Linked DNA regions of Diceros bicornis minor. Each later gene encodes a partner of the first gene's protein in a complex. Links are inferred from orthologs where the notes say so. Each region holds a gene or a part of one and is shown in the gene's direction. Other genes may lie near its edges. The genes, in order: MED1, RARB, RXRA and MED13.

Region 1 (6,979 bases):
ACCCGCCAACCCCAGGCCCCGAAGCAGAGCACACCAACTTAACCACTAAGCCACTGGCTGGCCCCTACCTGTATTGAGTCCATAAATCTTGATTAAAGATAAAAAAGAGTGGGGCCAGCCCCGTGGCTTAGCGGCTAAGTGCGTGCGCTCCGCTACTGGCGGCCGGGGTTCGCATCCCGGGTGCGCACCGACGCACTGCTTCTCTGGCCTGGCCGCGTCCCACATACATGCAACTAGAAGGATGTGCAGCTATGACATACAACTAGCTACGGGGGCTTTGGGGGAAAAATAAATAAATAAAAATTTTTAAAAAAGTGAAGCTTTTCATTGAAGTTTTATATCTTATATTCTATAGCACTTTTCAGTTTTCCACAGAACTCTTTTAAGTTTGTCAATAAATATCAGTTGAACAAATAAATAACCTGGTGAGGTAGCCAGGATGGGTATTATTATATGCATCTACTAAAGGTTGAAACTGAGACTCAGAAAGAATAGGAGCACATTTATACTAAATGTAGTCAGTGCCAGGGGCAGGGACAGCTCTTTCTTTAATCCTAAACCAGTACTCGTTCTAGTGCACTACATTTTCTCTTTTTGGTGGATAAAATTCTACTCTAACATCAATTACATAAAGCTGGGGGAAAAAATTCTATTCCTGGAAATCTCAGATTGTAAACTGCCTGGATTGGTTCAACAACTAGTGAGAATACTGCTTTTGTAAAATAAAGGTTAGTTCACTCTACAGAAAAACTTTGAACTCAGAAATTCCAGGACTGTGCCATTTGCTTTATTTGCATGACCTCCCGGGGCAGGGAGTCCGGGCAAATCTGTGAACCCCAAGGTGATCAGTCAGGTAATGACTATACTTTCTCTGTAAATCCCCCAAAACAGGTCAGAAAGCTTCTCTTTAGGCTGTACACAAGAGGAAATATTTAACTAAAGTTACAATAACTTTGCCCCCCCCAGACTAATTTGTTGTTTATTTATTTATTTTTTGTGAGAAAGATCGGCCCTAAGCTAACATCTGCCAATCCTCCTCTTTTTTGCTGAGGAAGACTGGCCCTGGGCTAACATCCATGCCCATCTTCCTCCACTTTATATGGGATGCCGCCACAGCATGGCTTGCCAAGCGGTGCGTTGGTGCGCGCCTGGGATCCGAACCGGCGAACCCTGAGCTGCCACAGCAGAGTGCGCGCACTTAACCGCTTGCGCCACCGCGGGCTGGCCCCTAATTTATTGGTTTAGATTTTAGATTTCAAGAGTCCTCCAAAGTCTCCCTCAAAGATGAGTCCCTTAAAATCTGTCCATTGTCTCTTTCTTGCCATGTAGAAAGATGGTTCCTGTGTGGGCCTTAAATGCTTTTCTTGTTTAATGACACATCTCTCCTATCTTTACATCTAGAGTACAAATTTTTTAACAATGTCATTTCATCTGCATTTTCAGATGAGAAATTATAACTTCTCATTCTATTCTATGAGCGGAATTTGGTAAAGTGTACTCCATTTTCAAGCTTTATAAGGGTTAAAATTTCTAGCTACACTTAGAACAGACATTATTGTTTACTTGTACAGAGAGTTTCCATGAGGAAGTGTAGCTGTGTAGCTAACATTGATACTTTGGGCATAATAATAAATTAACAAAAATTTTTTGAGTACCTATGATTATAGCGACCATTCATATTTTCAGAAGTCTAAATCAGGTGAGCCCATCAAGAGCTAGGGCTGTTTTCATGTTTATATTACCAGCTCCTAATACACAAGTATTAGGACCCCATAGATACTTGCTGAATGAAGAGCACTTTGTTTGACAACAGGAAAGGAAATAGCATTTAAAATATGAACTATCTTTGGAAATTCTCTCGTGGATAAATGCTGTGTGTACTTCATCAATTTTAAGGTTGCTAGATTTACATTATATAATATTCGGAACATACTTCTACGCTAAAAAATATAGAAATCTGAAATTCAAATTTAACTGAGCATTCTGTATTTTATCTGGCAACCCTATCAATTTATCTCAACACTATACACTGAGTAGCTGATATGTGTCAGGAGCTGGGCTAGGCAATGTCACTAGACAGTAGTGAAAGAAACCAAACCAGTGCAGCCCTCCCAGAGTTGACAGTCTAGTAGGGAAGACAGGCATTGAAGAAATCATCATGCACTTAATTAATTTTCATGGTGAAAGTGCTATTAAAGAAATAATAATATAACAGAGAATCTGATCAAATCAGGGATTAGAGAAGGCTTGCTTTGCTAGTTAGAGGAAGAGAGATTTAAATTGAAATCTGAATAAGAGGGCCTTAATGAGATGAAAAGACTGGAATAGGGGAAAGCCTCCCAGCAGTTAAAAAGGCCTGTTCCAGGACCTTGGGAGAGGAAGGAGTGCAGGAATTTTCTGCACATGAAGAAGCCCAGTGTGGCTGGGGGTTGGCAAGGGGAGGAGAGCTGGGTCTAGCAAGGCTTTACAGGCCCAGGAAAAGATTTGCCTACTAGGCCCAGGTATAGTGCTAGGTAGCGGGAATTCAGAAATGAGGGGCAATTCCTGCCCCAAGAAACTCACTATGTAGTGACTCAAAGGAATGAGGATAAGAGGAATAAGCAGGAAATAAAATTTGAATTCTACTTTCAAGGAGCATGGTTATAGGTATCTTTGTGGCAATAAAAACATGTTCCCAGACATTTCCAAAGTTTTGTTATTATTAAATTTACACTGCTGTGCCTGCTCACCTGAACTATAGTTATCTGCTGGAATCGCTTTGGAGGATGTTTGAATAGCATTTTTGAAATGTGGGGAAAGTCTGAGACTAGAGATCCAGCAGAAGTCCACTCCTTAGTATCCTTGCAGCAAACTACATAAAATCCAACTTTTCAGCAGTTATTTTCAAGGATGTGTATGGTAAAAAAAAAAAAAAAAAAAAAGTAGCCTTAATTATGTTAAGAACTTTCACCTAATGCTAGCATTGTTATATTTTAGCCTGGTTCTTCAGTTCCAGCGGCCATGAACTTCTCAACATTACCCCAAATTTCTCTTTGTGAGGATTTACTGATACAAGAGATACGACTACACATTTTTGTGACTTGTAGAGTGTGAGCTAACCTGCTTGTTTTGACTATGATTGCAAAAAAGGGACACAATCAGTTGTGAACGCCTTTAAGACTCAAAATATAATTAATAGCATCTGATGCTCTGATTGCTAACAATTTACCTTAATCCAAAATCTCCCAGATCTTCAAAAATATTGGAATTGCTCAAGAAATTATGTCTGAAATTAAAAATTAGGAAATAGGAATTAAGGGTACTGGGCTGGCTTGGAACGTCAAGTTACAAAGAGCCAATATCTTTTTTTTTTGAGGAAGATTGGCTCTAAGCTAACATCTGTTGCCAATCTTCCTTCTTTTTTCCTCTTTTCTCCCCAAAGCCCCAGTAGACAGTTGTGTGTGTCATAGTTGCACGTCCTTCTAGTTGTCTATGTCGGACGCCTCCTCAGCATGACTTGATGAGCGGTACGCAGGTCCACGCCCAGGATCCAAGCCGGCGAACCGGGCCGCCCAAGCAGAGCGCACGAACTTCACCGCGACGCCGGGCGGCCCGGCCAATATCTTTTTTACGGCATAATTAATCCATCTAGTATCTCAAGAAAACATACTATCTTTAGTAAAATATTTCCGATACCAATATTCTTCGAAAAGCTAGTCTTTCAGTAACGAGAGTGGGGGATTTTAATCTGCGAATTGCTTAAATGCCAAAAGGAAGACGACAGTTTTCGCGAAAGACCTAAAGAGCACCCGCCGGCAAACTCTACGCCTAGCTCCAAGACTCTGAGACAAACAAGAGGAAACGCTGTTGGAAAAATCTCGCGAGAAGCACCCTATTAACCATTTTACGCGATATTTTGGTGCCCAGCCCTTTTCCTCTCTCTCGCAGGATCACGGTTAATCTCGCGATTTTTGGGAAGTTCCGTTGGGGAAGATGGCGGCGGCCGCGAGCACCCTTCTCTTCTTGCCGCCGGGGACTTCAGACTGAGCCTTCCCGGGAAGAGTGGGGACTGCTGGTGCCCTGCGTCCCGGGATCCCGAACCAACTTGGTTCCCCCGTTATTGGTGGGGAAGGGCTTATCCTCTTGTGTAGGAATCGGGCTCTCCCCACCGTCAGGATGAAGGCTCAGGGGGAAACCGAGGGTGAGTGACTGAGGGGGAAAGAGGGGGGCGGGACACAGCTGGGGGGAGCCAACCTGTAAGAGGAGCTGTAAGAGGACCGATGCCTCCGCGGGGGCCACTTTCCCGGGGGCGCAGAGTCCAGGAGGCGGGGTATGTGTGGGTTTTATATTCTGACTGTGCCTTCCCTGGTGATGGAGAGCTCCGACTTTGGGGTGATGGGGGCTCCCAACTTCTGTGAAGGTTTCCTGCATAGCTAGGGGCAATCAATTGGGCCTCAGAGCGTTTTTAGTCTAAAGTGATGGGAGAACAGGCGAGTGAATCTAAAACTTGCTTACATCTCGTTCCAGAAGAGACGTCTGAATAATGACAAAAAATAACAGAGCTGCGTGTCAAAGTACTGGAGGATGTTTTGGCGTAAGGGAAATGATTAGGTCCTTAAAATATTAAAAGCCAGCAGTTCCCTAGAATGCCACAGTGTTCCGATCTTGTGCTATTGTATATTTTAAAAATGCGCTGAATTTCATCCTTTCAATGGCTGGCCTAACTTAGAAATGCTGAAGAATGACTTTTCTGTGGAAACTTACTTAGATTCTCTAAAGTTTCGCATTCTGGCTTAAATGCTTCCTTAGTATTTTGGACATAGTGCTATTGATACAGCTCACTGTATTGTTGTTAATTCTTCTTCTCCACTTTACTCTGAGCTTTGTAGATCAGGGCCCTTGTGTTCCTCATCGTTGCATGGTCCCTGGCACATAATAGTTGCTCAAAGAATGTTTGATTTGAACATTTGTGTAAAGATATTTATCTTCAGGCTTCTCAAGGAAAAGAAGGGGAGTGTGTTTTGAATGAGAGGAAGAAGAAAGGTATACTCCTTGGGTATAGAGGAATGACAAGTGTAAAAATGGAAACTCGATGAGGCAGGAATTTTGTCTAGTTTGCTCGCTGTTGTAGCCCCCACACGTACAATAGTGCTTGAATGAATAAGTCTTGAAAGTGGAAATTGCCAGAACTGTGTCCAGAACTATAAACTGGCTGAAACAGCCCCCAAACCAGTTTTCCAGAAGATGAGGGCATTGGAGGAAGGTGTTTGAATCTTGATTTAGAAGATGTCACTGCCTCAACTCTGATTGCTGACATTCTATTCATCTTTCAATGACATCTTTTCTGTAGCATCTCCGCAACTAATTATGAACTTTTCCTCCTTTGAATTTCAATAGAATGTGTCTCTGTTTTTAAGAGCATATCTCCTTTGGCTTTGTGTGATGGTTATTTCCACGTTAACTTATCCACACCCCCTCACAGATGTCATCTCAGGCATATTGTGTGTTTTTGCATTGCCAGTGGTCTCTAGCACAGGTCCTTGCTCATACTAAGCAGTACAAGAATTAGAAGAGGGTTGGAGAGTGTAGGTTTGTTCACACACCTAATCCAGGAGCCAGTCTTTTCTACCTTTCTGTTACCTCTGCTGGAAACTCATCCTGGTATCTGTTGTCCAAAACACTGGTGTCTTTAGTCAGTGATGTCTTCCCTGTCCATATAGTTTTAGTTTGAATTCAAATAGGAAAAATCTGAATGGGAAATAAAGCCTGTTTTCTTGATAGTACTTATAAATTGATCTCTTAAAATTATGTCAAAAAATTAAGAAAGTCTGTATTTTCACACTGAAAACCAACTAATCATAGTAAGGCCATGTTCAAATGTATGCTCCACATATATCATACAAAGGATTTCATGCATATCATGAAATGATTTTGCCATGAAATGTAGTCTCAATCCTGAAACATTATTAGAGATGGTTCTTTTTTTGGTTCTTATTAAAAGTTTGAATAGAAAGCAGTCTTGTTCTATGGTGTTTGTTAGATTAGACCCATAATTTGTGTGTCTTCTTATCATTAAAAATAAATTTCTTTGTATTTTTTTTTTTTTTTTTTTGCCTTTTCTCCCCAAAGCCCCAGTAGATAGTTGTATGTCATAGTTGCACATCCCTCTAGTTGCCGTATGTGGGACGTGGCCTCAGCATGGCCAGAGAAGTGATGCGTCGGTGCACGCCGGGGATCCGAACCCGGGCCACCAGTGGCGGAGCGCGTGCACCTAACCGCTAAGCCATGGGGTCAGCCCCTCTTTGTATGTTTTGAAGTAAATGACACTGAAAAATATTTTAACTGAGTTCTTAACAGGAGGAAGTATGGGAGTTTCATTTGCAGGAAAAACTGTGGAAGGTCTTGAAAGAAGAGTTTCTAATTATGTTTTCTGATTTATATCGTAGAATCGGAAAAGCTGAGTAAGATGAGTTCTCTCTTGGAACGGCTCCATGCAAAATTTAACCAAAATAGACCTTGGAGTGAAACCATTAAGCTTGTGCGTCAAGTCATGGTGAGGATTGTAGTGAAGTGGATAAAGTGTTGTGCTTAGATAATTATTTAATAAGCTAAGCTCCTGTGTAGACTTTTTAAAAGTAGTTATTGTAGTGTGTCTGCAGTTTTATTTATCATAAAACACCTGAGTACACTGGCTATCAACTTTAAGAGTCTAAGAGGGAGGTATATTTATAAAATGGTGTTAATCATGAGTTACAGTACACTGGGTTACTTTAGGCAAAGGTGATAAGAAATACACCTATAGAGGCACACAGGATAGATTGTTATAGAGAGACATTTATTCTTCACTTCCTGTCAAGCTGTTGATTCTAATGTGATAGTACTTTTATTGTATTTATACTACTAGTAGAATTTGCAATTTATTCTTAATTAGCTTCACCTGTTCACTCTGTCAAGCTCTTTTTCTACAGTACTAGCTTCACCTGTTCACTCTGTCAAGCTC
Region 2 (7,663 bases), on another chromosome or scaffold:
TCTATTTCTGTGAAAAATGTTGTTGGAACTTTGATAGGGATTGCATTGAATCTATAGATGGCTTTAGGAAGTATGGACATCTTAACTATGTTAATTCTTCCAACCCAAGAGCACGGAATATCTTTCCGTGTGTGTCTTCTTTGTGTCTTCGTCAATTTCTTTCAGAAATGTTTTATAGTTTTAGTGTACAGATCTTTCTGTACAGTTTTCAGTGTACAGATCTTTCACCTCTTTGGTTAAGTTTATTCCTAGGTATTTTATTCTTTTTGTTGCAATTGTAAATGGGATGGTATTCTTAATTTCTCTTTCTGCTACTTCGTTGTTAGTGTACAGAAATGCAACTGATTTTTGTATGTTGATTTTGTATCCTGCAACTTTACCATATTTGTTTATTACTTCTAAAAGTTTTCTGGTGGATTCTTTAGGGTTTTCTATATATAAAATCATGTCATCTGCAAATAGTGACAGTTTCATTTCTTCCTTTCCAATTTGGATCCCTTTTATTTCTTTCTCTTGCCTGATTGCTCTGGCTAGGACTTCCAGTACTATGTTAAATAGGAGTGGTGAGAGTGGGCATCCTTGTCTGGTTCCTGTTCTTAGAGGGATGGCTTTCAGTTTTTCACCATTGAGGATGATATTAGCTGTGGGTTTCTCATATATGGTCTTTATTATGTTGAGGTACTTTCCTTCTATACCCATTTTATTCAGAGTTTTTATCATAAATGGATGCTGTATCTTATCAAATGCTTTCTCTGCATCTATTGAGATGATCATGTGATTTTTATTCTTCATTTTATTAATGTGGTGTATTATGTTGATTGATTTGCAAATGTTAAACCATCCCTGCATCCCTGGAATAAATCCCACTTGATCATGGTGTATAATCTTTTTAACGTATTGTTGTATGCGATTTGCTAGTATTTTATTGAGGATTTTTGCATCGATGTTCATCAGTGATATTGGCCTGTAATTTTCTTTTTTTTTGTGTTGTCCTTGTCTGGTTTTGGTATCAGGGTAATGTCAGCTTCGTAGAATGAGTTAGGGAGCTTCCCCCCCTCCTCAATTTTTTGGAAGAGTTTGAGAAGGATAGGTATTAAGTCTTCTTTGAATGTTTGGTAGAATTCACCAGGGAAGCCGTCTGGTCCTGGACTTTTATTTTTGGGGAGGTTTGTGATTACTGTTTCGATCTCCTTACTGGTGATTGGTCTATTCAAATTCTCTACTTCTTCTTGATCCAGTTTTGGAAGGTTGTATGATTCTAAGAATTTATCCATTTCTTCCAGATTGTCGAATTGGTTGGCATATAGCTTTTCATAGTATTCTCTTATAATCTTTTGTATTTCTGAGGTGTCTGTTGTAACCTCTCCTCTTTCATTTCTGATTTTACTTATTTGTGCCTTCTCTCTTTTTTTCTTGGTGAGTCTAGCTAAAGGTTTGTCAATTTTGTTGATCTTTTCAAAGAATCAGCTCTTGGTTTTATTAATTTTTTCTATTGTTTTTTTGGTCTCTATTTCCTTAATTTCTGCTCTGATTTTTATTATTTCCCTTCTTCTACTGATTTTGGGCTTTGTTTGTTCTTCTTTTTCCAGTTCCTTCAGGTGCATTGTTAGATTGTTTATTTGAGATTTTTCTTGTTTGTTGAGATAGGCCTGTATCGCTATAAACTTCCCTCTTAGAACTGCTTTTGCTGTATCCCATAAATTCTGGCATGTCGTATTTTCATTTTCATTTGTCTCCAGGTATTTTTTGATTTCTTCTTTGATTTCTTCGTTAACCCAGTCGTTGTTCAGTAGCATTTTGTTTAATCTCCATGTATTTGTGGCTTTTCTGATTTTCTTCCTATAGTTGATTTCTAGTTTCATACCGTTGTGGTCAGAAAAGATGCTTGGTATTATTTCAATCTTCTTAAATTTATGGAGACTTGTTTTGTGGCCTAATATGTGATCAATCCTGGAGAATGTTCCATGTGCATTTGAGAAGAACGTGTATTCTTCGGTTTTTGGATGGAATGCTCTGTATATATCTACTAGGTCCATCTGTTCTAGTGTGTCGTTTAAGGCCAATGTTTCCTTATTGATCTTCTGTTTGGATGATCTATCCGTTGGTGTAAGTGGAGTGTTAAAGTCCCCTACTATTATTGTGTTACTGTCTATTTCTGTTTTTATGTCTGTTAATAATTGCTTTATATATTTAGGTGCACCTACATTGGGTGCGTAGATATTTACAAGTGTTATATCCTCTTGTTGGATTGTTCCCTTGATCATTATGTAATGCCCTTCTTTGTCTCTTTTTATAGTTTTTGTTTTAAAGTCTATTTTGTCTGATATGAGTACTGCTACCCCAGCTTTCTTTTCATTGCCATTTGCGTGGAGTATCTTTTTCCATCCCTTCACTTTCAGTTTGTGAGTGTCTTTAGGTCTGAAGTGTGTCTCTTGTATGCAGCATATATATGGGTCTTGTTTTTTTATCCAGTCAGCCACCCTATGCCTTTTAATTGGAGCATTTAGTCCATTGACGTTTAAAGTAGCTATTGATAAAAATGTACTTACTGCCATTTTTTAACTTTTTTTTTTTTTTCCTCAGTGTTGTAGTAGTCCTTCTCTGTTCCTTGCTTCTTCTATACAGAATTGATGGTCACCTTAGTTTGACCTCTGTCTGAAAGCTGTACTCTTTAACTCCCCTCCTCCCTCCTTTTATGTTTTTATATCATATCTAACCTCTTTTTTGTGCATTTGTATCCATTACGTTCTAATCATGGAAATAGATAATTTTTCCTATTTGTGGTCTTTTCTTTTCCCCTTAAATCAGTCCCTTTAACATTTCTTGTAGCACTGGTTTCTTGGTGACAAACTCCTTTAATTTTTGCTTATCTGGGAAAATTTTGATCTCTCCTTCCATTTTGAATGATAACCTTGCTGGGTAGAGTATTCTTGGCTGTAAGTTTTTTTCTTTTAGCACTTTAAATATATCGTGCCATTCTCTTCTAGCCTGTAAGGTTTCTGCTGAGAAGTCAGCTGATAGCCTTATGGGGTTTCCTTTGTATGTAACTTGACATTGTCTTGCGGCTTTTAGGATTCTCTCTTTATCTTTAATTCTGGACATTTTGATTATGATGTGTCTTGGCGTGGGCCTCTTTGGGTTTATCTTGTTTGGGGCTCTCTGTGCTTCCTGTACCTGGATGTCTGTTTCCTTCCTTAGGTTAGGGAAGTTTTCATCTATTATTTCTTGAAATAGATTCTCTGACCCCTTGTCTCGCTCTTCTCCTTCCGGGACACCTATAACACGGATGTTAGTGCACTTGATGTTGTCCCAGAGGTCCCTTAGACTGTCCTCAGTCTTTTTAATTCTTTTCTCTTTTACCTGTTCACCTTGGGTAATTTCTTCTAGTCTTTCTTCCAGCTCACAGATCCGTTCTTCTGTATCCTCTACTCTGCTTTTGAGTCCCTCTAATGAATTTTTCATTTCCAGTATTGTATTCTTCATTTCTGATTGGTTCTTTTTTATATCTTCCATTTCTTTGTTGACATTCTCACTGAGTTCATCTATTCTTCTCCCCAGATCAGTGAGCATCCTTAACACCCTTAGTTTGAACTCTCTGTCGGGTAGGTTGCTCATTTCTGTTTCACTTAGTTCCTTTTCTGGGGTTTTGTCCTGTTCCCTTACTTGGAATGTATTCTTTGGCCTCCTCATTTTGCCTCTTTCCCTGTGCTTGTGTCTACGTATTAGGTAGGTCAGCTACGTCTCCTGCTCATGGATAGGTGACCTTATGTAAGTGATGCCTTAGGAGGTTTCCAGTGTGCTTCCCTCAGTTCTCAATGTTCCAGGGGTGACCCCTATGTGGGCTATGTGTGTCCTTCTATTGTGGCCTGTTAGCTCTTCCTATAGGCGCCCAGGGAGGCTGAGTTATGCTCCTGGCCAGCTGTTGTAATGCTCAGCTGTTTGTAGTTGTTGTGGGCCCTTCAGTCTCTTTATCAGGTGTGGGGAGCCCCGGCACAGTTGGCTGTAAGTTCTAATACCACATTTGTGTTGCAATATTTCTTTTAAGTGACTAGGCCCCCAGCGCGGCAGGTTGTTAGGCTCAGGGCCTTACAATTTCTGTAAGCCTCTAGCCTATTAGGTCTCTTGTCAGCTCTCTGAGGATTGCAGCTGTGTGGGGCTGGCCTCAGGCACAGGAGCACCCAATTGTTTCAGGCTTTGGAAGGTGGGGCAAACCTCCTATGTGGGTCTTTGAGAAGCACAAGTCTTCTGCAGCTGACAAGCCCTGTTGCCCACAGGTCCACACACACAGTCAACACAGTCCTGCCCTGTGTGAGCGCCCCGACCCACAAGCGGACCCAGTCTCTCCACGGCGGGAGCCCCACACACTCCGGCACTGCCCCACACTCTCCACTTGCTCCTTGTGCACACCCTGCCCCTCTCAAGTCGGCTCAGTTGCCAGGCTGCAGAGAATCCAGTCACCAATCTATGCAGGCCCACACGTTGCCTGAGGGCTTGTTGTTGGGTGGGGCCAGTCTCTAGGGTGGGCTGCCTGCCCTGGCTGAGCTGGATTAAATCGGTGCTCTAGCGGGTGGAGCAGACCCTGGGCTAGCAGGCCTCAGGGAGAACTCCAATGGCGTCTGTGTCAGCACGCCCACACCAGGCCACAACAATGGCCGCCGCCAATGTCCCAGTCCCTGGAGAGGTCTCACCCCTCACCGAGATGCACTCAGGGCCTATTAGGTGAGTCTCTTGTCACCAAAGCACTGTGCACCTTTCTTGTGATTTTAGGATGCTTTCTGGAACGGGTGAGTTTGTGCGCGGGCCCTTTAAGAGCCAGTTTTAGTTTCTTTGTGAACCGGGTTTTCTGGGGGTGCTCCCCAATGCTTTAGCAGCAGGCAAAGTCAGATATTATGCCACTGGTCTCGATTGTGCTGGGTCCACAAAATGCCCACAGCGGGGGCGCTCCCCGGCTCAGGGCCCCGCGTCTCCAGGGAGGGTGCGTACCTGTGAGCTGCTCCCGGCGGCCGTGAAGCTGGCGGCTTGTGAAGGCGGCGTTTTTCCTCTCCAGAAGGGAGTCTCTCCCTCTTCCACCTCAGTTAGGATTGTCCGTTGTTGCAGGAGTTCCTCTCATCCAGTTTTCAGTTCTGTCTCAGGGGTAATCGTTCCACCAGTAGTTGTAAATTGGCTGTGTCCACGGGAGGAGGTGAGTTCCGAGTCTGCCTACGCCGCCATCTTGACTGCGCCCAGCCCATATGGTTATTTTAAACAAATATTTGGTTTGAAGAATGGGTAGCATTTGCATCCACTCCAGTTTTTCCTCTCTTTTCCTCGTCAAGAGAGGAGAATTGGACTTGCCTTCCTCATATTTATCCTCCAGCGCTTGCGATTTCCTGGATTATTTACTGTTTGTGGCTTTGAAGGCATAGTCTGTAGCCTTAGGAGGCCTTGTACCAGAGGAGAGGGCTAGGATTTAAGTCAGTTTAATGTGAGGTTTGATTTTCTCTTATTCAATAAGTCATTAGCAAAGCGTTTTTCTCTGAGTAATTAGCTATTCTTTTGGTTTCTTCTCTCTTAGTGATCACTGTTTTCTAGGGGACAAACATAGACCAGAGAATTATTTTCTCTTAAAACAAATAGGTAAAAAATGAGTGTGTCCACGTGCATCAGCTTCAAGAATGCCCTTTTCATGTCAATGAAATGTGGGTTGGAATAGCTAAAAGATTGAATCCAACTTTTGCCTTAATCCTGATAAAATAGGGCAAACTCTAAACATTTTAAACTAAAGAATTAAGGCAAGATGGGGAGAAACGCACTGTGTGTTTTTGTGAAATCAGGTCACAATGCTGCACTGTTGCAAACAAGGGGAACCAACATGGACAAGTTCGCCTTATATACCTCAATGAGGTTGAAAACATTGGCAATGGGGACCCAGACAAACAGAGCAAGTGGAACTATGGAAACATTTCTGTTCCCAAACAAACTCTGTGCAATTACAAGCCTGAGAACACCCACGGAGCTCTCAAACTGGGTACCAAAAAAGACGAGGCTGCTAACTTCTAAGCAAGTGACAATAGGAAAGGAAAAACCCAGCCGGGATGAGCTTGCCCTTCTCAGCTGGCACCAAAATAACATTGCTTGAAGAAAATAACATGAAGCCTGGCAGTCGCAGAGCCACAAATAAAAGCTGTATTTAGCAAATGCCAGGGAAAAAACATAGTCTTTATTTCTTGAAGAAACTACCACGTTTACAATGTTACTAATGGTATATATCATGTCAAAACCATGTCCTGCTAGCCAATGCAGAAGTAGATGCTATATGGTGCATACATTAAGATGTTCTTTAAAACGCTGAGATTTCTTGGTAGGCTAAGACCTGTGGCTGAGGATTTACGCATAAGTTCAGCTGTGTGAGGTCGTTTCAAGATGTTGCTGACTTCCTGAATCCCAGAGCAGAGCTTCTCAAACTTTCGTGCGCACAATACAATCACCTGAGGTTTTGTTAAAATGTAGGTTCTGATTCAGCAGGTCTGGGGTGAGGCCTGAGATTCTGCATTTCTAACCGTTCCCAGGTGAAGCCCATGTTCCTGGCCCATAAATCACATTTTGAGTTGCAACGTTCTAGAAGATATTATGTCAACTTAATGAGAAATGGGGAGGGCAGGTTTAGAACTAATTAGGTTACATACTCAGGATATGGTAGGATAAAATGATGGACTTTAATTAGCATTTGAATGTGCCTATTGCAATGAAAGATAGAAAAAACTTACTTTTACAAGACTCATTTTTTTCATTGAGCATAGACGTTACAACAGAAGCAGAATCTGGTAATATACTAGTATCTTTGTGTCAGAAGAGACCTCAACAAGGTGAGCCTCCTGACTCCCCACCTAGTGCTGTTTCCACAGTGTCCAAAGGGTCCTCTCTTCACGTTCAGGATCCATGCAGCAAACTTCCTCCCACCATCGTGTATTAGTTTCCCGTGGCTGCTGTAAACAATTATCACAAACGTGGTGGTTTAAAACAACAGAAATATATCCTTTTACAGTTCTGCAGGCCAGAATTCCAAAATCCTCATTACTGGGCCAAAACAAGTTATCCACAGGGTCATGCTCTCTCCAGAGGCTCTAGGGGAGAATCCATTCCTTGCCTCTTCCAGACTCTGGTAGCTGCCAGCATTCTTTTTCTTTTTTTTTTTTTTAACTTTTAAAATGCTTATTTTAAAATAATTATAGATACACAGGAAATTGCAAAATAATGTACATGCAGGCCTCTTGCACCTGTCACCCAGCCCTCCCCCAATGTCAACATCTTGCATCAGTATATTATAATATCAAATCCAGGAAATTGACATTGATGTAATCCATAGAGCTTATTCAGAAGACTCATATTTTTAACTGATTAAATAATAACAAAGGACTTTTTAATTTTTATATTTATTTTAGAAATAAATGGGCCAGATGCCATTATTACAGCCTATTTCAGCACACAATCAAAGATAAAATACATGCTCTGGTTTAGAGGTATAGAAAGCTCTCGCCAGGAGATGGCACCTTAAATGTACATTATGAAACTCATGAACCAGGAAACTGGTGCAGTCACTTCTCATTCCAGCTTCCCAGCATTTCATTTGCTGCAATATAGCTAGTAATGAAATGAATTTAAAGACATGAATCCAACGTTATAT
Region 3 (6,986 bases), on another chromosome or scaffold:
GGCCTCGGCTCTGCGAGCCCGTCCCTGAGAGGCCCCCTCCCGGTGGAGGAGGACACGCCTGCGTACTCGGCCCTGCCCGCTCCCAGCTCTGGCTCCCCGGTGCCCCCACGGGCTCAGCAGAGGCTGGTCAGGGCTTGACGGGCGTGGCCCCTTCTGGGAAGAATGGCAGCTGCTCTCCCTGGGCGCTGGTGCGGGCGCTCCCGAGGGCCTGGGGTTTCCCTCCCGGGGCCCGGCAGCCCCTGCATGTCAGTGCGGTGAGATGCAGCCTGTGGAGTGAGAAGGCACAGGCAGCAGAAGGTTCTGGAGAGCTGTCTGTCTTGCTTTGAGTGAGCAGTCAGGTGTGTCGCTCTGTGGGTGGTGCACACGTGTGTGTGCATGTGTTAGTGTGAGGGACAATGACTGCCACACCTCTGAGGGCCTTTTTGGGCCCCATCCCAGAGAGCCCCCCCACCCCTGGCCCCACCCGGGGCTACCTGGATTTTGGAGTCACGGGCCTGGGTTCGAGGTCCAGCCTGGGGCGGCTAGGGCGCTCTCCAGCTGAGTGACCCTGGGCACATCCCCCTTCCCGTCCCGTCCGAAAGCTGCCCTGCTGTCTCCTGCAGCCTCGTGGTTCGGAGGCGTGGGGGCCAGGGCTGAGTGGAGACACCCCCTCCTCCCGGTTCAAGGCCCATTTTAACCTGAAACCTTACACACGTTGTTTATGCAGTCACACACGTATGCATGCGCGTGCACAGACGCTCAGACACGTGAACTCACACCGGATCTCTGACTCTAGTCTGCCGAATGGATGGGCTGGGTGTTCACAGCCCCTCAGTGTGCCAAGCAAGACCCTCTGAGGTTTTGGAGTCTTGCTGGGTCTCAAGACCTCGTAGGGTGCTGGGGGCAGGGCTCCAGGGCGGGTGGGCATGGGGGGAGGGGAAGCCCCATTGCCTGACTCCCCAGGACGCAGCCGGGATCTGGCCCTTGGTCTCCCAATATGGGGACTGGAAGGAGAACCATCTGTCCCCATCGGAGGTATCTTTGAGGGCCCCAGAGGGGTGCGTTGGGTGACATCGGTCCACAGTGGGCCCTGGGGGAACCGGGTTTTGTTGTCTCAGACCTGAGTCTGGACCTGGCAGGGCCGCTCTCGCCCTGCAGGAGACTGCCTGCCTGGCTGCTCTCATTCCCCGGCTCTCCACAAGCCCTTTCCTGGCCACTGGGCCCAGACTGGGCCTCCCCGCCCGGGAACCTGTGATTACCTTCCTTATTTCTGTGCTGGTTCACTCTCTGTCCCCCCAGTGGGTTCTCTGTGTGTCCCCAGATCTACAGCAGTATCTGGTGTGAGGTGAGGGGCTCATGGTCACCCCTCATTTGAAATTCCATATCTTTTGATGTGGCCTGGCTATACAGAGCCTTTCGGGATTTCAGAGAGCCAACGGTGGCATGACAGCTCTAATCGTGCTTCTTTGTCACCCCCAGCCTGTCCCCGAGAGTCGGCTGGGCATTGTGCTGGACACCAGGGGTGGGGCATCCAGACACCATTGTGGCCCCTTGGAGCCCATGGTGTGGTGGAGACCCCGGCGAGTCTGCAGGGTGGGGAACCGGCAGTGGCAGGACCTGGGGGGCCGGATGCCCATCAGGCTCAACCCACAGAGGGGCAGGGCCAGAGGGAGCGTGGATGCCGCTGGGCCGCACGTTCTAGGAGAGGGTGCTGCTGAGAGGGGAGGCTGCCCGGCTGGGCGGCCGGCTGAGGGGTTGCCGCAGTCATTGAGGGAGGTGGCAGCCAGCGGCCAGGGCAGAGTCCCCTCTGCTCACTCCTTTGGGATGTCTCCTGAGGGCCTGGGGTGAGGCCGCGTCTGGCCTGAACAGCGGGCAGCTGTGCTGGGAGACTTAGCCCCCAGAGCTGAAGAGAGAGTGTGCGGGTGTCGGCTGGTGTGGGGCCCTGGGCAGGCTCTGGAGTCAGCGGGTGCTGGGGCCCTGGGCATGTCGTCCCAGGGACACATGGCAGAGGGCATGTGGGCTGGGCATTTACCTCCAAAGTTGGCCCACCGCCCCCATCGGGCCCCTACCCCAATGAAAGCTCCTGCCTCCTGCTGGCCCGGTGCGGGCAGCCAGCTGTGGGGCTGGGGTGGGGTTCTTGCTGCCCTGCTCCCCCAGGGGTGGCCTTGGGTGAGTCCCTGGCCCTCACTGGGCCTTGGTTTCCTCCTCTCTGGGGTGGGCTTGCCGTGAGGGCTCATGTCCCTGGAGCACGAGGTGCCCTTGAGTGGCACCTGCCGTCCCCGGCCCACTCTTGTTTCTGCTTACAAGTCAGCAAAGGCGTGCAGGCCGCAAGTGGGCCGGGCTCGGCTGGCCTGGGAGGTGGGGGCGCGCTTGCTCCGCCTGGCTGGCCGCCGTGGGGACAGGGAGACGACCCGCGAAGGGGCCCCCCGGGCCTGGGCGGGCAGGGCGCCCTGGGCGCTCGGGGCTGTGGGCGAGCCCGGCGGACCCCTTCCGCTGCCACTCCACTTGCTGGGCCTCCCGGGGCTGGGGAGGAGGCCCGGCCTCCGCGGGCGCTTTCTCTTTCCAGAACACCGTCTCCCCCCGAGCTTCGCCCCGCAGGTCCGCAGGGAAGCCTCAACCCGGTTCACGGCCGCGCACGGTGGCCCATTTCTGGCCTGGTCCCCGCCATTCCCGGGGCCTGCGGCCTGGCCTGGGGAGTGGGAAGCAGGCTGGGCGTGGCCTTTGCACCTTCAAGGTGGCCCCACCCTTATCTCTGCGTGCCCTGAGGACGAGGGCCGTTGCCCAGGTCGGGGGGTTGGGGGTGCCGGGGGGCCGTGGGGCCGTGAGCCCTGTGCCCCGACCGGCCTCTCCCCGCGTGACCGCCGGGCGGCGGACAAGTTGGCAGTGGCCCTTGCCTGGGCGCTGCTGCGTGTCGAAACCAGTCGCTGACGCGGCGGGCGGTGTTGAAATAAGTGCTCCTGGGTTTCCCAACATCCTGCCAGCCTGTCACAGGACTGGGTGTCAGGGGCCTGGGTGCCAGGCCCAGCCTGCGCCTCCCTCTTGGGGTGTCGGGCTCCCCATTTCCTCCCCTCCCCTTGCTGCCCGAGGTGCTGGCAGAGTCGTGACACACTAGAGCAGGGTGACATTACTCTGGGCCCACGTTGTCTTTGTGACCTGCCCCTTTTACAGAGGTCAGGTGGCTTTGGAGTGGAAGGCGGGATTTGAACCTGGGCCTTGGGGCAGGAAGGAGGGTCGGGGAGCAGAGGCAGGCCGAGGATGGCTTGCCAGCCCGGTGGGCACACAGCGAGCAGGTGGCAGAGGGCGGCAGCCAAGGGTCCCAGCTCCCTGTGCCCTCTGAGGGACTGTCCTGGCGTACTGGGCTGCCCCCTCTCGAGGAGATGGTGGGAAGAGGGGAGCCCTGGGCAGCACTGGGTGGCGCCCCTCTCCCTTTGGCTGGCGTGAGGCCTGGCTCGTGGGCCTGCACTGCAGGGGGGCAGACAGTGGCCACGGGGGCTGCACATTCATCGATTGTCCACGTGCTCCAGGCAGTTGACTTTGGAGGGGTCGGGGGGCCCTCCCCTTAACCTCCTGGGGTGGGCATTCTCATTCTCAGTGTTGAGAGGAGGAAACCAGAGCTCAGAGAGGCCAAGTGACCTGCTGGGGGCGTCCGGTTCTGCAATTCTGAGCTGTGCGACCTCAGGCGAGTAGCCCAGGCTCTCTGATCCCTGAGGGGACTCTGCTGGCCTGGGCAGGGAGCTGGTTGAGGATGCTTCTGGAATCAGGCCCTCTGGGTGAAGGGGAGGAGGAGAGGGGCTCAGGATCACCCTCGCACTGCTGCAGACCCCTATCAGGTCCCCTGCCGGGTGGGGCCTGGCTTCTAGGAACTGTGGTCAGGCCTCACCCCTACTTTGGCGTCTGCCCGTCGCCTGTCAGCAGGGGAGGGGCCTGGGGGCAAGTCTCTTATAGATGAGGAAGCAGGCGCCAAGAGAGGGTGAGGGGCTGGGTCTGGGCCACACAGCGAGGCTGCCGCCCAGCCAGGGGCCCATGTGGAGGCGGGTGTTGGGAGAGGCGCTCGGTAAGGTGGGAGTTTCAGTGGCCGGGGTGGGAGGACCATGTGGGTTCCAGCCGGTGGCAGCGAGCACTGTCACTCGGGCTGGGATGACAGTCACGGGAAGAGCAGTGACCTCCGAAGGGGCTCTCGGTTGTCAGGCACCTGCCATGTGCTGGAGTCGTGGCCGGTGCCTCCCCGCCATAGCAGCCCAGGCCTGCTGGGCGCCGGGCACATGCTCAGCTCACCCAGTCATCCTAGAACAGCCCTGTCTGGCGGGTTTGTGAGCCCATTTTCCAGATGAGAACACTGCGGCCCCGAGATGTGACGCCACTGACTGTGGTCCCTGGCCGGGGGAGGTGGGGCTGGCCTTGGACCCGGTGCCTCCTGGTGCCAGGGGTCCCTGCATCTGTCTGCCGCCTTCCCTGGGGCTGCGGCTGTGGTGGCTGCCCTGGGGTGGGCATGTGTGTAGGTCTTTTCTATCTCCCAGCTTGTGGACAGAGAGCCGAGGGGTTGGTTTGGAGGATGTAGGAGTCTACTGTGCTGTAGCTGGAGGGAGGTGAGTAGTGCCTCCTACAGGAAGCCTTCCTTGATTGATGTCTGCACCAGGACAGAGTGCCCCTCCTCCTCGTGCTGCATCACTGACTGACTGGGCTCTCTCGGCTCCGGGAAAGGCTGTCGTCTGACTCTGGACGGGGTGTCCCTGGGCAGGCCCGGCCTTGCTCATCTGCCTGTTCCTAGCATGGGGGCGGTGGGACACAGGTGTCCCCTAGTGAGTGCTCTGTGTGATGTGTGAGGGGGGCTGAAGCCGAGGGCACCATCCCTTTGTGGGGACAAGGACTCTTAGACCCAGCGGGGTTGAGTCAGATGCCCGGGGCCCCACCCAGGCATGAGTCGTGCAGCAGCCAGGACTCGAACTCAGGTCTGCTAGCTCTGGGCCACCTGTGCCTCACCACCTCTGTTCACCATCTGTGGGGACGGGTGAGAAAGGGCAGCTTCAGGGTCACTCGTCCACTTCCATTGCCTCCTGACCACTTCCTTCGTATGTGACATCTCTTTGCAGAAGAAGAAATAAAGGCTCAGAGAGGTTGCTTAATCTACTTGGAGTTGGACAGCTTGTCAGTGCCTTAGGGTCTGTTTGAAACTTGGTGCTTGCTCAGCTGGTTCTTAAGGACTGTGGTGAATCCTGTAGCCTGTGTTCACCCATTGCTAGCTCTCCCACCCCCACCCCATCCATCCATTTAGTAAGTCTTTATTTGGCACCTGCTGTGTGCCAGGCCCCAGGGGTGCTCAGTGAACCAGTTATAGTTCCTACCTTCAGGAGCCCCCAGACCTTGGCAGGCGCAGACAAGTGGGCTGGGGCCACCCTGCGGCATGGTGAGTGCTCTGGGGGTACATAGTAGAAGAGGCCTCTGCCCTGGCTAGGAGGATCAGGAGGGCTTCCTGGAGGGGGTGTTGTTTGAACTGAGCCTGGGTTGGAGTGAGCCAGGAGACAGATAGGGGGAGTTTCAAGCCCAGGGAACAGCATGTCCGCAACTACAGGCGAGAGAGCTGGTTCCTGGAAATGATCCAGTTCCCAAGGCTGGGGGTGGAGAGTGGACAGGCCCAGAGAGCATAGGGCAGTGTGGGGAGGGGTGGGAGCCCCCAGGGCGGGTGAGGAGGAGCACAGGAGGTGCTACTGTGGCTGTGGTTGGCTTGGCACCCCAGGAGACCTTCCTGCCTCCAGCATTGCAGTGGTGCTGGGCACTTGGCTGCCCGGTCAGGGTCAGGGAGATGGGCAAGCTTCTTGGAGGGAGGCTGAGGGGTCCCCTGGTGGGCCTCGGCCCTGTCTGGAGCTCTGGGGTTGGGATGCCACAAGAGGTTGGTCCTAGGTGGCTGGCGAAGGCTTCCAGGCAGGCCCCGGCCCAGAGTAACCCCGGTTCATCCCGGGGTCAGCCCAGGGACCGTTCTGACGGGCTGGCGTTAGTCTGGGCCGAGCCATGCTGGGTCAGCCAGCTCACCTTACAGCCGAGGACACGGGCCGGACGGTGGGCGCGGGGCTGGGCGAGGAGCTCCCGGCCCTCCTGGGGCTCCTTCCAGCTCACACTGGGGGAGGGTGGAGGAGTCTGCGGCAATGGGTTTGGAGAATATCAAACCTGTGTTTGGCTAGGAGGGTGCTTTTGGTGGGAGAGTTTGTGCAAGTGGCTGATCAGGGATGATGCTGAGATTCTGTAAAACAGCTCCCCCCAAAGAAAGAAAGAACTCCAAAACCAACCACCCTACAACTCTGTTATTAACACCAAACAGAGGAAGTAAAAACCGGCCATGGCGTGCCCCCCGCCCAGGGTTAGTGCTGCGGGCCTTTGCTGTGGCCCGGCCTTCCTCCACGTGCGGATGTCTGGATAATAGCGTATCTCGGTATTTATTATTTTATGGACAAAGATGGAATGCCGATTTTTGGTTTCTGTCAAAGTTGGGATTCCCCCTTCCCCAGTTTTTGGGGAGGAAGAAGTTGGCCTCTTGCTGAGACTGGCCAGGCCTTTTCCAGGCCAGAGGAGGAGAGAACCGGAGCGTTCTCGGAGACTTTGGCTCCAGGACCCGGGGTCCTGCTCTGGTCACCACCCTCCCGCGCCTCAAGCAGCACCCACCACCCTGTGGGCATGGCCCGGGGTTGGGAGATTCTAGGGGCTTCTGGGCCCCAGCAGGGTGTGTGTGGGGTGTAAGTGTGTATGTGCTGATGTCCGTCCATCTGCGTGGAGACCCCTAAGTGGTCTCCGTCCCCTTGTTGGGGCAGAGGTTCCCTCCAGTGCCCCTGAGGTTACCCCGCTCCTCTGGCCTCCCCCACCCTCGCCCTGCACCTCGGGCCCAGGCAGCCCTGGGTCCCGGTCTTGTCTGCCACTGACCAGCCAGCTGTGTGGCCTTGGGCAGGTTGAACTTTGTGTCTTTGAGCCTCAGTTTCCCTTCTGTAAAAAGACAGTGGTGCTTGTAGGGTTTTTGGAAG
Region 4 (6,858 bases), about 11 Mb from region 1:
CTAGATCCTGGGATTTTTCAGAATCAGGTGGGGAGCCTTAGTTCTAAGGTTAGACATCGCCCTTTCCTGGACTTGCTCTGTCTCAAGTGATGTAACTCTGTCACCCTTTCTGGATGCCAGGTGCCTCCACTATCCCTTTCAGAATGGCGCCCTTAAAAGGCTGAAGGAGTTAAAGAAACAGTTTTAAATGTAGATCATTGAGCGAATCCACATTTCAAAATGTTGAAGACAATAGGTGATTATTGACCCAAGGCAACATCTAAGATTCACTTTAACATTCCTGATTGGCTCTCTTATTTACTTGGATCATCTCTTAATTGTCACAACAACTCTAACATTTAGGTGCTATTATTACATACACATTTTACAAATGAGTAAATGGAAGTTAGGGAGCTAGCAGGCGTGGTGTGGAGTTTTGACCCCAGCTGGTCCAACTGTCCAAGTGCCATATCTAGCAAGACAAGGAGCTCCTCATATATCCTGTGCTTTGTGCATATATGACGTGACACATACTAGATGGTCAGTAAGCATGTGTAGTAAAATGTATATGTAGTATGACTTCAACCATGTAGAAAAATATATATATATATGGAAAAGTCTGGAAGAAAATACATTAAAATGTTAAAACATGGTTAATTATGAGTGGTAATGTTATGGGCATTTTTTGATTATGTATTTTATTTTTCATCTTTATACTTTTCCATATCTTCCAAACTTTTGACAATGTGCATATACAGTTTTTTATTTATTTCCATTACTCTTTAAATCACACAAAATGTCATTTTAAGAGAATGTAGTTGGTTACTGACATGTTCTGTGTGTGCTGATATTGCTCTTTGTTTTTCTCCCCATGATGTTTCCATTCCCCTCACAGTTGGTGTCCCTCTTCTCCACTTGCACTTCTCCATTCTCTCTCTCAATCTCTCTTCTGCTTTTTCGTCTCTCTCTCTCTCTCTCCCCCCCTCCCTCTCCCTCTGTCTCCCTCTGTCCTGCTCCTTTCCGTGATCCTTTCTCAGACTTTTTCCTCTGGGTCTTCCTCCCTTCTTGTCTCCTATCTCTCCCTTCTTTTTGAGAAGATTGACATTCAAATGAAAGGTCAATCAAATGTTACTCTGCTCTTCGTGGTTTTCTGGCAGATTCTATCTGTCTCTGGAGTCCTGAGACAGGTGCTCAAGTTGGGGGCAGGGTAATGGACGGCAAGACTTCTAAAGAGGATGGCTACATTTTGGATAAAATAAGAGGTGGTAGATAGAGTACATATCAGAGTGACAAAAGTAGTGGGCACAAAGGTCTGAGGATTCTTTCAGGGAAAGAGAGATGAGCAGAGGGGCTCTTACCTTATTGGGTCTGGGGATTGCTGTCTCCTGGTGCTGGCACTCAGTTAGAAAGGATGTGGACCTTAGTTGATTTGAGCTCCTGAATTGAATTAGTCCTGGTTGTATAATTGACTTTGATATGTGGCCTTTGGATCTGAATTAGGTTTAATAAGATTTAACTGCTTCAAAGGGCTTTATAAGAATTCATTTTATCCTTCAAATCTGATTTCAAGTGCTACCTACTTTAAGACACATTCTCTGACTTTGGTGCTCCTTGTCCTGCACTTCCATTGTGCCATAGTTGATACATACCTTATTCAAGCAATTACTTCCATTGTATTTTATCTTATTCTGTGGGAAATAGTTCCTTTATTGCCTCTCTTCAGGAACCTTGAAGGACAGGCCGGTGTCTTATCCGTATTTGTATCCCAGGCCTAGCACAGACCAGGAACACACTTAGTTGAGCACGCAGGTGCTCAATAACGATTTTTAAAAGTTTATTAATAGCTAACATTTAGTAAGCACTATGGCAAGCCCTATACCTACACTGTTTCATTTTCCAGGCACTATATGAGAAAAGTACTTTTATTACCCCCGTTTTACAATGAGAAAACTGAGAGTAAGAGAAATTAATTTGATCTAAAATCAAATTGGATCCAAGATCAACCAGTAAGTGGCAGAACTTTTTTTACAGGCTTTTGGCTTCAAGATCTCGGATGGATGAGGAATGCTTTTCATTCCACGGCTGAAGAAGTGACATGGAAGAGTCCACCATTTATTTTACAGAGGCAATTATGATTTAAAATTATGGTAAGTCCTAACTCATTATTTCTAACTTTTGAATCACTTTTAGTTTTTCTTTTCTTCCTTCCTTCTTTCCTTCCTTCCTTCTTTCCTTCCGTCCTCCCTTCCTTCCTTTTCCCTTCCTCCCTCCCTCCCTCCCTTCCCTTCTCTCTGTCTTTTTCCTTCTCTCCTTTCTAAAACTCCCAGGGAAAATGTTTGAACTCCTGCATTGAAGTGTAATCCAGTCAAGAACTGAGTGTTTTATGGAGCAGGGAACTAACATTTTATGTATTTGGTTCCTACTTCTTACCACTCATTCATTTGCAAATTTACAAATATCAAGCGCCTACTGTGTGCTAGGAACCTTTTTTAGGCACTAGAGATACAGAGGTAAACGAAGCAAAGTCCCGGTTCCAACGGAGATTACACTCCAGTGAGCACTTTACATGCACTGGTTCACTTACTCTTCACGATAACCACGTGAGGTAAATGATGACACAGTAATAGATAACTCTTAACAATGCTTATCTGTGGCAGGCACTGGGCTATGTGCTTTATTTGTATTAACTCAATTATCACAACAACACTATGAGGAGGGGGTATGTTTTCCCCATTTTATAGATGAGGAAACTGAGACTCAAAGAGGTAAGTGACTAGCTCAAGTTTTGAACTCAGGTAGTGTGGCTCTAACTCCCAGGCTATTGACCACAAGGTTATATTGTTTCCTTTATGTTTCTTTCTTAATATCACAACTTTTAAGTGGCTGAGTCCTATCTCAGATCGTCCCAGGCCCAGGGGTTTGCGCTGTACCTCAGCGGCCTCGTGGAATAAATGAGAATGCCGTGGAATTTTTGCAACATTTTCTCTTCCAAAGAATTCAAGCTGATTTCCACGTAATTCTCCGATTTGTGATGTGAACCCTCTTGTACTGTAAATTCCCCGGCAAGGAGAAAGTTAGGGCCAAGGCCCCGATCGTCTTACACTGGCCGGAGCACCCAGCAGATGGCGCTATCTTAGCAGCCACCAGCGGGCTGCCCCGTCCCCGAGGCTCACCGCCTCTGCCGAAAGCTTCCCGGCCCTCCCTCACTCCCTTCTCTCTTCCCCTCCCCACGGAGCCCGGGCCCACGTGACCTCAAGGCGGCCAATGGGCGAGCAGAGAGGGCGAGCTGGTCCCTGTGGCCGCCATTAAAGCGAAGGGAAAACCCGTGAATTCGGATTAAAGGGGTAAAAACACCGCCCGCTGGGCCCACAAAATGGGGGAGACTACGGCGTCCGGGCGGTGAGGCCGCAGGAGCGCAGACGTTAGGCCAGCTTGGCCCAGGGACAACACGAAGACAGCCCGAGAATGGTCTGAGCCCGCAGACGCCGCCACCACCTCCGCCACTGAGGAGACTCTGGGCTTAAGGACATCGCCGCTGCCGCGCCGGGGGCCTGGGCTTCTCTCCGGCTTCTCGCCCTTCCCGCCCCTCTGCGGGCGCCTCCCGCCCCAGGAGAACCCTCCAGAGCTTGGGTTCTGCCCTTTCGGACTTGATTTTAATTATTTATTGTGTAATTTATTATTTTACTTGTGGAAGGGGCACACGTCCCCTCTGTCCCCCAGAGAGGGACGAGCGTCCGCGGGCTCCGCGGCGGCCGCAGTCCGGCCCACGGGGCGAGCGCGGCGTGGCCCTCCCGCCTCCGGCCCTCGGCCCCGGGCGGCTGGGTGCCGGGCGGCGGGGGCTGCTTGCGGCGGCGGGGGGGTGGGTGGGGAGGGCGGGCGGCCCGGCGGCCTCCTCTTCCACCGCCCCCCCAACCACCACCCCCCCGCCCTCCCCGGTGTCTGTGTTTCTCTCTCTGGTCGGAGGCGGCGGTAATGGCGGATGGTGGGTTGTGGCGCCGGCGGCGGCTGCTGTGAGGGACGATGAGTTCCTCCTTCGTGCCGAACGGGGCCAGCCTGGAAGATTGTCACTGTAACCTCTTCTGCCTGGTGAGTGCCGGGGCCGTGGGGGAGGGGGCTGCGAGGTGCGCCCTGGGGCCGTGGGGGAGGGGGCCGGGTCGGATCCAGATCCCGAGTCCCCGGGCTAGGCCCGGCCCGAGCCGGCGCCGCGGGAGCTCCGCACCGGCCCCGGGAGGCGCGTTCGCTCGCCCTCTGCCCTGGGCTCTGTTTTAGCGGTGTTGGCTTTTTTTCTTGTCTTGTTTCTGACTCTTTTTTTTCTCACCATAGTCTTGTCTTCAACTTGGGCTTCTTATCTGGCAGGACGCTAACATTTCCTTCTGTTTCGTGCTTAACTGTTGCTTTTCTCCTTGTTGACTTTGTATCCCTTCTTCACACTTTCTATTATTACCCGTTCTCCCACTGCCTTTCTGCCCCACTTTGGTAATTTGGGTTCCCCCAATAAACAGGACCCCGGAACTTATGCACTAAAACCTCTTTTCGTTTTACTTTTTTTTTTTTTATATGAATCAAACAGAGGGTTGGTTTCTTTCTTGGATGACTTCAGACCTCTGTGTAAAAACCAGTAGATGCCATTTCATATGTTTTCTCTTTAAACTTTGAAAACAGTTTGCCATTTTGACAATTTCTGGCCATCTTGCTTTTATTAGAACATTATGTTTGTGTGAGAGTGGAGCGGACTAATGGAGGAGGTGCTATGGTTTTGCACTAGATATTGCTATATTTGTCTGTTTTGCTTGCGTTTTTAGAATGTTTTGAGCAGGACGCTCCTCCTTTTATTGAAAAGTCTGGGGAAGCTGGCTATGGAGATGACAGTTGTGTAGGTTGGCCCAGGTCTGGGAAGATCCAGTTGTTAAGACTTTCAGAAGTACCAACTGTTGCAAATACTTAGTCCTCAGTTGGACAGTAGCTTAGCTTCATCAATGATTTAAAGTTCGGTGACTTTCTTTTTTCATTTTCTCTGTGCTATGAGAAATACTGACAAGAGTGTGTGATAGGTAAGTGAATTGAGTGGGCGGAGCACAACTAGTTGGCAAGTGTAAACTGCCAGTCATGTATCAGCAGTTTCATTTTTGGCACCTTATGCTTTGCACCTTGTTTAAGTTAGATTAAAGAATTAGTGAATTCCCTCTGTCTAATTTCTTTCATGATGCTAAGTTGAGATCTTTAATTCCCTTTTTCCCTATAAGATGTTTTCTGTACGATGTCCATTAATCAACATCTCTTCAGATGTAATAAGACATACAGCGGGTTTTACATTTCTGTGTTCTCCGACTCAAGTCTATTTTTGGCACTTTTGGGATCAGGTTCTTTGAAGATAGACTAGCACAAATCTGACAGTTCTTTGTGAACACCTATTTGACGTTTCCTAAAAGTGATATGTGGAGAGTTAACAAGAATTTTTTCCGTTATAGTTCAGATTTCTTTTCATTAGAGCCATGACTTCTATAGACATGGAATCATATCTTTAAAAATTAGTTTTGTGTTACAAATTTGACACCAAGGATTAAGTGTGACCAATTAGAACAGAATTTAGGACAGAGAGGAAATGTCTTCTGTGTGTGCAGTATTCAAGTACACGTTTATATTTAAATTTTTAAGTTTTTTTTATTTCTCCTTGGGACACATTTATTGACTTGCTATTCAGTGACACGTCAGTGTTAATTTTTTAACTGTTTTGTTTTCCTAAAATTTTTGGTTGTTAAATTATCAGAATTAATAAGCATTTTTTAAATTAGTCAATCTGTTTTCAATATCTTAAGCACATATTGAAAAATTGTAATGTCTTAATGAAATAAGGAATTTTAAGAGTGAGTAGTGTTGACTTTTTTGAGTGAATGTGCAATAATAAAAAAATCATGCTTTCTTTCCTTCAGGCTGACTTGACAGGAATTAAATGGAAAAGATATGTATGGCAAGGCCCAACTTCTGCCCCTATTCTGTTTGCGGTGACTGAGGAAGACCCCATTTTGAGCAGTTTTAGTCGCTGCCTTAAGGCAGATGTACTTGGTGTTTGGCGGCGAGATCAAAGACCTGGAAGAAGAGAATTGTGGATATTTTGGTGGGGTGAAGACCCCAATTTTGCTGACCTTATTCACCATGACTTATCAGGTGAAAGCAACTTATTTCTAATTAATGATATAGCAATGTTGTATACGTTACCCAAAAATCATTTGTATTACAAATTAAGATGTTTTTGGAGGAACACTCGTAGGTATGAAGCCAGATAAAAAGTCAGCTTCATGTTTTGTTTCGCTGTGGTTATTTATTTTACTTAAATTATCCATATTATGGCAGACTTTTTAAGCCTTGAATAACTTTATTCTTCCACCACCCACCTTCCTCATGAATTTCTTGCAGTTAGGGCCCAAGGAAGGCATGTTACATTAACCTAAGGAAAATGAAATCGGGGAGCATCAAGTTCCTAACGCAGTCGTATAATACTTTTGAAGCCAAGTGTAATTCACCTTTGAGTCATTTCTGCCACTGCTCTCTTCTGTACAAGTATGCAGACAATTGTAGGAGTATCTAGAAATGTATTGTAATTTTCTCATGTGTTTTTTCAAGGCATGTAGTTATTTTTGTTAGTTATTTGTGGTTGTTATTTTATTAACATATGAAGGCATATGTTAATTTTGTTATTCTTGGAAAGTGATTCTTTTATTTTAGATGCTGTTCTATCAAAGACTATCATTAACATGAGATGACTGCCAACTTGTTTAGCTTTTATAGGACACGGGGGTCGTAATCTAAAAAGTTACACAGAAGTAATTTTATTATGAGCAGATGACTAAGATTACTTCCATCTTATTTTCTTGACTTTTA

What was found.
Region 2: the proteins of MED1 (region 1) and RARB are in contact, whole or in part, in a crystal structure (PDB 1XDK), measured with the Mus musculus proteins. The link is inferred for Diceros bicornis minor from reciprocal best matches to the Homo sapiens genes MED1 and RARB. Residues at the interface, in NP_001073587.1 of Mus musculus: His642, Pro643, Met644, Leu645, Met646, Leu648, Leu649, Lys650, Asp651; in NP_001276689.1 of Mus musculus: Ile264, Val267, Lys271, Phe276, Ile281, Gln284, Ile285, Leu288, Lys289, Pro435, Leu436, Glu439, Met440.
Region 3: the proteins of MED1 (region 1) and RXRA are in contact, whole or in part, in a crystal structure (PDB 1XDK), measured with the Mus musculus proteins. The link is inferred for Diceros bicornis minor from reciprocal best matches to the Homo sapiens genes MED1 and RXRA. Residues at the interface, in NP_001073587.1 of Mus musculus: Asn641, His642, Pro643, Met644, Leu645, Met646, Leu648, Leu649, Lys650, Asp651; in NP_035435.1 of Mus musculus: Phe282, Val285, Lys289, Phe294, Leu299, Gln302, Val303, Leu306, Arg307, Thr454, Phe455, Glu458, Met459, Glu461, Ala462, Pro463.
Region 4: MED1 (region 1) and MED13 share a complex: the UniProt entries of both Homo sapiens proteins name them as parts of the mediator complex. The link is inferred for Diceros bicornis minor from reciprocal best matches to the Homo sapiens genes MED1 and MED13.

The regions. Positions count from the first base shown.
Region 1 is NC_080757.1:39,169,484-39,176,462, reverse strand, and holds the start of MED1 (mediator of RNA polymerase II transcription subunit 1), read left to right. Parts: upstream 1-3,970; 5' UTR 3,971-4,155; coding exon 4,156-4,180; intron 4,181-6,425; coding exon 6,426-6,532; intron 6,533-6,979. UniProt on the Homo sapiens protein: Component of the Mediator complex, a coactivator involved in the regulated transcription of nearly all RNA polymerase II-dependent genes.
Region 2 is NC_080741.1:29,820,996-29,828,658, forward strand, and holds the start of RARB (retinoic acid receptor beta), read left to right. Parts: upstream 1-4,659; 5' UTR 4,660-4,719; intron 4,720-7,663. UniProt on the Homo sapiens protein: Receptor for retinoic acid. Retinoic acid receptors bind as heterodimers to their target response elements in response to their ligands, all-trans or 9-cis retinoic acid, and regulate gene expression in various biological processes.
Region 3 is NC_080767.1:41,224,918-41,231,903, forward strand, and holds the start of RXRA (retinoic acid receptor RXR-alpha), read left to right. Parts: upstream 1-3,979; 5' UTR 3,980-4,002; coding exon 4,003-4,033; intron 4,034-6,986. UniProt on the Homo sapiens protein: Receptor for retinoic acid that acts as a transcription factor.
Region 4 is NC_080757.1:27,789,040-27,795,897, reverse strand, and holds the start of MED13 (mediator of RNA polymerase II transcription subunit 13), read left to right. Parts: upstream 1-3,840; 5' UTR 3,841-3,999; coding exon 4,000-4,065; intron 4,066-5,909; coding exon 5,910-6,144; intron 6,145-6,858. UniProt on the Homo sapiens protein: Component of the Mediator complex, a coactivator involved in the regulated transcription of nearly all RNA polymerase II-dependent genes.